Linked DNA regions of Macaca fascicularis. The protein of the gene in region 1 purifies or fractionates together with the protein of each later gene. This does not show direct contact. Links are inferred from orthologs where the notes say so. Each region holds a gene or a part of one and is shown in the gene's direction. Other genes may lie near its edges. The genes, in order: L3MBTL1 and ANAPC1.

Region 1 (4,611 bases):
CTAGACCAGAGTACAGTGGTGAGATCATGGCTCACTGCAGCCTTGACCTCCCAGGCTCAAGTAATCCTCCTGCTCAGCCTCTGGAGTAGCTGGGACTACAGGCATATACTACAACACCTGGCTAATTTTTATTTTTTTAATTTTTTATAGAGACAGGGTCTCCCTGTGTTGCCTAGGCTGGTCTTGAGCTCTTGGGCTCAAGCAGTCCTCCCACCTCAGCCTCCAAAGTGCTGGGATTACAGGTGTGAGCCACTGCATTGGACCCATACAGTGTTTTGTTTGCTTTTGTTTTTTGAGATGGAGTCTTGCTCTGTCTCCCAGGCTGGAGTACAGTGGCATGATCTCGGCTCACTGCAACCTCCACCCTCCACCTCCCAGGTTCAAGCGATTCTCCTGCCCCAGCCTCCCCAGTAGCTGGGATTACAGGCACATGCCACCAAGCTGGCCCCATACACTGTTTTTTATTAACAAGTTCAAGTTACTGAAATCCAACACAAGTACTTATTAAGCACCTACTATGTGCCACGTACGAAGTGTTGGGGATATAGCAATGAACAAGACAGACAGTCAGCATTTATGTGGAGATGACTGATCAAACACAGAAATAAATGAAGATCACTTTTGATTATAATGAAGGATGAGAAAGAAAGAAATATATAATAGTAATGAGACAGCTAGTGGTGGGAAGGGGTGAGGGGTATGCTGCTGCTTTAAATTCCTTGGTCAGGCCGGGCTCGATGGCTCACGCCTATAAACCCAGCACTTTGGGAGACCGAGGTGGGCAGATCACCTGAGGTCAGGAGTTTCAGACCAACCTGGCCAACATGGTGAAACCCCGTCTCTACTAAAAATACAAAAATTAGCCAGGCTATGTGGTGTGTACCTGTAATCCCACCTAGTCAGGAGGCTGAGGTAGGAGAATTGCTTGAACCCTGGAGGCAGAGGTTGCAGTGAGCCGAGATGGTACCACTGCACTCCAGCCTGGGCAACAGAGCGAGACTCCATCTCAAAAAAAAAAAAAAATTACTTGGTAAGGAAAGACCTCTTCTGAGGAGGTGACTATTGAATTGAGGACTGGAGGATGGGAAGGAGCCAGTTAAGCAGAGAGCTTGGGGAAGGGCGTTCCAGGGGTAGGGAACAGCAAGGGCAAAGGCTGTGAGTGGGAATGTTGGTCAAGCAATAGAAGGAAACCAGAGTCTGTTGACTGGAGAGAACAGGGGAAGAATGGCATAGGATGAGGCCAGAGGGAAAAGCAGAGGTCAGATTTTCTAGGGCAAAGCACTTTGATTTTACTCTAAGGGCAACAGAGAGCCATTGAAGAATTTAGATAGGGAAATTATGTGATTTGGTTTATGTTTTTAAAGTTTTTCTTACTGGGGAGTAGACTGTAGGGGTGCAGGAAAGGAAGCAGGGAAATGGGCTAGAAGGCAATTTCAGAAGTCCAAAGAGAGCTGCTATTGGCTGGGACCAGCATGGCAGCAGTCGAGATGGAGAGAAGTGGTTAGACCTTCAGTGTGTTTTGGAGGTAGCACTGACAGGCCAAGCTGTGCTGTCCAATACAGTAGTCATGGCTACTGTCGCTATTTATTTTCTTATTTATTCTCAGAGACAGGGTCTCGCTATGTTGCCCAAGCTAGCCTCAGACTCCTGGGCTTCAGCCATCCTCCTGGGTCAGCCTCCAGAGAACTTGGGACTACAGGCATGCACCACTGTAACTACCTTCTGGTAACTTTTAAATTTCACTAAAATAAAATAAAATAAAAAATTCAGTTCCTCAGTCATAGTAGCCCATTTCAAGTGCTCAGTAGCCACATGTGGCTAGTGGCTACTGTGTTGGACAGTTTAGGTATTGGACAGTCTCATGATCACAGAAAATTCTACTGGACAGTGCTGGTAAGGCAAGTAGGGCAGTGGTGAGTATATTTTAGGTGCTGAGTAAATAGATATTAAGTATATTCTTTGTATCTCTAGGTCTTTTTCTTTATGTTTTTACCTGTTGAATGAACTCTATGAAATGCCTCTACTGCCTTTGCATTATTAAAACAAAATCACGTACTGACTTGACTGCATTTTCGTACACTACGTCTTTGCTCTTCAGATGCGTACATGTGTTCAGCAGATATCTGAGTGCCCACCCTGTGCTTGGGGTTGGAGGGAGTGGTGGACAGGGCCATAAAAGAACATGATCAGGAAAGATCCCACCTCCCAGGAAGATGATCCCTGTGTGGGTGAAGGAATACCTGGTATTTGAGGTCTCTGAATCCCCAGAGGGAGGAGGGAGTGATTCTAGTGGGGATAGAGGTGGGGTCAAGGAAAAGGTGAGTTTGGATGTGGCCTGGGCTGTGTCCTGGAGACAACTGGCCAGACAGAACCTTGACCCGAGTCATGCTCCCCAGAGTCAGTGCTGTACATCACAGTTTACAAAGTACCCTCACACATGCCACCCTACCCATCCTTACCATCCTTACAGAGACTGGGGAGGTGCAGGGCCTGGCCAGAACAGGAGCCAGACCTGATGCTGGTCTTGAAGACACCCTACTCCCCACAGGACTGAGGCCTTTCTCTGCAGGTTACGGGTTTGAAGGTGGCCAGCTTCTCAAAGAAGCCCCATCCCTTCACATCTCCATTGCTTCTGTAACAGAGGTCCCCACCTGATCACCCTGGGGGCTGTGTTTGGCTTGTAGGCCTGCCAGGATGGAGGGGCATGCTGAAATGGAGATGCTGAGGACACTGAAGGGGCCTTCCACAGGGGAGGTCAGCGTGCACTTGGTGGCCAGAGACAGCCCCGGTTCTGGTCCTCACCTGCCCGCAACTGCCTTTATCATTCCAGGTGAGTCAAGCTAGGGTAGGAGTCTGGGGAGGAAGAGCATCTCTGTACTTGCACAAGCAAGTGTGGATCCTGGAGAGGGGATGACTGTTTTCACTCTCCTCCACCTGTCTTCCTTCACATGCCTACACATGCGTGGCAGGATTGAGGCAGGGCCACTAGACTCACCCGTGTCGTGTCTATTTGTGTATCTGTTTACAGCCAGCTCGGCCAACCTCGGCCTGCCCAGCAGTGCCCTGGATGTGTCTTGCTTTCCCCGGGAGCCAATCCATGTGGGTACCCCGGAGCAAGTGGCCGGCAGCGAACCGGTTCCTGCCACTGTCCTGCCGCAGCTTAGTGCCGGGCCGGCCAGCTCCAGCACCAGCACAGTGCGGATTCTGGAATGGACAGAGGCCGCGGCCCCGCCCCCTGGGGGCGGCCTGCGGGTCAGTGTCTGTGGGGATTGGCTAAACCTCGTAAACCACAGCCATGGGGCGGGGCTTGCGGGCCCGGAGGCCGGACCTGAGGCGGAAGCGGGGGAAGCTGGCTAAAATGATGGGCACTAGGGGTGGGCTTTGAGTGAGGGACTCTAGGGGCGTGGCTTGAGTTGAAGCACTCCTAGGCCCTGGGGACTATGGGGGCGTCGCTTGGAGTGAGGCACTCTGGGACTGGGCCTGTGGGTGTCTGGGGGTGTGGCTTAGAGTGGGGCACTCTGACTGGGCCTGTGGTAGTTTGGGGGCGTGGCTTAGAGTGGGGCACCGGGGGACTGGACCCTGCAGGTGCTTGGGGGCGTAGCCTGGAGTGAGGGTTTGGCTGGTATAGCTTGGAGTGAGGTGCCCTGGCATGGAGTCTTGAGGCCTGCTGAGGGCGTGAGCTGGCATGAGGCGACGAGAGGGCCATGGCCCCGACGCCGAGGTGGGTCAAGGGCCCGTACGGGAGTCGCAATCCTCAGACCCTCCCGCGCTCCAGTTCCGGATAAGCGAGTACAAGCCGCTGAACATGGCGGGAGTGGAGCAGCCCCCGAGCCCCGAGCTGCGGCAGGAAGGCGTGACCGAATACGAAGATGGCGGGGCCCCTGCTGGAGATGGCGAGGCGGGCCCCCTACAAGCGGGTAGGAGCCCCGCTCCCCAGGCCCTGAGCTGGGCCCTGTGCGGGTGGGGTGAGGCCTGAGCCCCAGGAGGACCGGGGGCGGGGCCCAGGGTGGTCCTGGGGTGGAGAAGGCTGGAGGAGGCCATCCGATGCGGAGATGGACTGAGGCGGAGGCAGGGTCTGTGGGGGCGTGGGCGGAGCCTGAGTGTGGCTGCAATGGGGCGGGAGGCCTGAGGCCCATTTGGCCCCCGCAGAGGACCACCCCCAGAATCCTCCAGAAGATCCCAATCAGGACCCCCCAGAGGATGATAGCACCTGTCAGTGCCAGGCGTGCGGGCCTCACAAAGCCGCGGGTCCAGATCTTGGTTCCTCTAATGATGGCTGCCCTCAGCTGTTCCAGGAGCGGTAAGGGGAGGAGGTCGCAGCCCTACTCGCTCTGCCTTCAGCCCCCAAAGCCTCATTCCTGTTCAGGGGTTAGGAGAGGGGCTGGGTGGTGCAGGGCGGGTGGTTCTTTCTCTAAGGCTGGCCCTTCCTCAGGTCAGTCATAGTGGAGAACTCCTCAGGCTCCACCAGCGCTTCTGAGCTCCTCAAACCCGTGAAGAAGAGGAAGCGCAGGGAATACCAGAGCCTATCAGAGGAGGAGTCGGAGCCAGAGGCCATGGTAGGAAGAGAGCAGTGGGGAAGGGAGGGGGAAGCTATAGCTTATGCCTCAATTC
Region 2 (2,669 bases), on another chromosome or scaffold:
AATGATTATTTTGTGCCTGGACCACTGTTATAGCCTCCTAAATAGCCTCCTTGCTTTTTCTCATCTCCATTCTAATAATCTCAAGTTAACTGACAGAACAGTCTTTTAAAGAATGAACTGATCTAACACTCCTGCTTAAAGCTTTTCAAAGACTCCTGATTCAGCTATGAAAGAAATCCCTACTGTGTGGCACCAGGACCTGTGTGACCTGCAAGGCACCTGTTTTCCTCAACAAAGCCTCTTTTACACCACTTGCTCCTCACACCACGCTGGCCTCTTCTACTTCCTCAAAAACACTGAGCTCCTTTTCACTGTGGGGCCATTGAATATGCTGTTTTCCCTCCCTAGAAGCTTTTCCTCTCATTCTTCACCTGTCCAACTCATATTTATCCTTGCAGCCTCAGTTTTAATGACCTTGCCTCCAGGCCCTCCAAGACCACTCTACCTCAGGCAGCTTTCCTGCCATCTATTGCCTGCCCGCTCATGCTCTCAACTTTTTTTCTGCATCTAAATGCCTTTGTTTGCAAGTAACAGAAGACCTGACGTAAGCTGTCTTTAAACAGTGAGGACACAAATATGCTTATGTCATTAGAAGTCCACAGGTAGGGCATGTAAAGGGTCATCTTATTCCATTGTCTTCAACTCCGTTTCTCTGAGGTTCCATCAGCTACATTCTGTGCCATGACTTTATCCTCAGTGCTTTTTTTGGATGGTAATAAAATGGCTATAACATGTTCACCTCTAGCTCAGCATGATGCCCAGAGGAAGAAGAAGAGTTGCTTCTAGGAGCTTTGTGATGAGAATGAGGGGATTTCTTTCCCTGGAGCCTCCAGCAAGCATGTCATTAAGTACCTCCTCAGGTTTCTGGCTCTGAGTTGCATCTCATGCACACCCTCAATCTATCCCTGTGGCAGAGACTGTCTCTTATTGAAAAAATGGCCTGGGTCTGCCTGTCTCTGAACTAACACTGTATCAGGGGAATGGGATTGCCTTGATCACCCAAGACCGGTGATTCTCAAAGTGTGGTTCGTGGAGCAGCATGACCTGGGAACTTGTTAGAAATGGAGTTTTTCTGGCCCTACCGCAGACCTACTGAATCAGAAACTCTGTGCTCTGTGCTCTGTGTGGGGAGTGGGGCCCACTCATCTGTGATTTAACAAGCCCTCCAGGGGATTGTGATACATGGGAAAGCTTGAGAACCGCTGGCCAAGACTAATAAGGATCTAGTTCTGGAGCTGAAGTCTGTCCCATCAAATATTCTAATACATGGTGGAGGGTGGGGTGTGAAGGGGTATTTTGGGGAGACAACCACAGTGACCACTGCACCTTTATAGCACTCTCACAGTTCATAATTATGCATTTGTTTGTGTCATTATTTGTGTAATATCTGTCTTCCCCAACAACACTCTAAACTCTACAATGACAGGGACTCAGTCTAGCTTGTCACCGTAGCCTCAGTACTCAGTACCAGCTGTAGAACCTGCTTATAAATTCTTGATGAAAAAGTAATAGAAAGAAGATATTTCTTGTGCCTCTCAGTTCTGTCATCAGTTGGTTCAGTTCCATTTGTTTCTCTCGCAGCCGGGGGTGATATGTGTGTGCACGCCTACCTCAGCGGGCAGCCCTTGGAGGAATCGCAGCTGAGCATGCTGGCCTGCTTCCTCGTCTACCACTCTGTGCCAGCTCCACGGCACCTGCCGCCTATAGGACTAGAAGGTAATCGCATATCTGAGTCCTCTCTTCGGTACCTCTGTTACCTACCCCTTTATGTTCTAGTTTCTTGGTAGGAAGAGTTTCTAATTAGTTATTGTCCCTAGTTTGACTTTCCTCTTCATTAATGTTGCAGTGTCATTGCTAGGAACTGTTTTGGAGCAAAAAAGAAAAAAATTATCAACTTTTTACATGAATAACTTTCATTTTTATTCAGAAAAGGATGGATTCTTCTTCACAGAGCCCCAAACACTGGTCTAAAAATTTTTTTTAGTATATACTAAAATATATACAAAAAAAATTTTTTTTGAGAAAGGCAGAGATTGTTCCATTTAATCATTTAAACTTGAAGTTTAATTACATTACTAGTTTTTTTGCTGTTTTGAAAGCCTCTGATAAAAGTTTACTATCTAGGGACTTCTAGTTATGGCCATGATGGAATTGCTTGTATTGGACTCACTTGCCCTCCAAAACAAGTATAAAAGCTAAAAAACCAAAAACCAAAAAACAAAAAACAAAAACATAAGAAAAGGGAAGTACAACAGGGAGAGCTTTCTGTTCACTCTAGCTTCTCCCCCAAAGGCATTTGCCAGTTCATAGCACAAGAAGTAGAGTCCCAGCAAAAGGCAGCAGTGCTGCAGGGCTGAGGAGCCAGAGGCTGGGTTTGTGATTGTCCAAGAGCCTAGAACTTGAGGAACAAAATCGCAGGCAGGAGAGAACAATAGGAATCATAACTCAAAATCTGGATGTACCTTTCCCTTGAGTTACTTACGACATTTTAGCCTTCATATATATGGGGTAAGACTTCAAGAGATCTAGCAGAAGCCACAAGGCCAAAAATGTAAGCAAAAGTGTCTGCAGCAGCATAGGACCGAGGAGACAAAGGGTGGAATTCAAGACTTGTTGAAGTGAAGTGGCTCTGATCAGCATCCCAGCTCCTCAGGTGAATTAATAGCTTG

The links.
Region 2: the proteins of L3MBTL1 (region 1) and ANAPC1 purify together in Homo sapiens (affinity purification with mass spectrometry; 4 studies listed by BioGRID and IntAct, counting the BioPlex papers as one, with this or other methods). This does not show direct contact. The link is inferred for Macaca fascicularis from reciprocal best matches to the Homo sapiens genes L3MBTL1 and ANAPC1.

What each region holds. Positions count from the first base shown.
Region 1 is NC_088384.1:99,589,622-99,594,232, forward strand, and holds the start of L3MBTL1 (lethal(3)malignant brain tumor-like protein 1), read left to right. Parts: upstream 1-1,500; 5' UTR 1,501-1,567; coding exon 1,568-1,725; intron 1,726-2,684; coding exon 2,685-2,830; intron 2,831-3,028; coding exon 3,029-3,252; intron 3,253-3,553; exon of another isoform or gene 3,554-3,775; coding exon 3,776-3,917; intron 3,918-4,149; coding exon 4,150-4,300; intron 4,301-4,432; coding exon 4,433-4,556; intron 4,557-4,611. UniProt on the Homo sapiens protein: Polycomb group (PcG) protein that specifically recognizes and binds mono- and dimethyllysine residues on target proteins, thereby acting as a 'reader' of a network of post-translational modifications.
Region 2 is NC_088387.1:18,810,434-18,813,102, reverse strand, and holds part of ANAPC1 (anaphase-promoting complex subunit 1), read left to right. Parts: intron 1-1,581; coding exon 1,582-1,716; intron 1,717-2,669. UniProt on the Homo sapiens protein: Component of the anaphase promoting complex/cyclosome (APC/C), a cell cycle-regulated E3 ubiquitin ligase that controls progression through mitosis and the G1 phase of the cell cycle.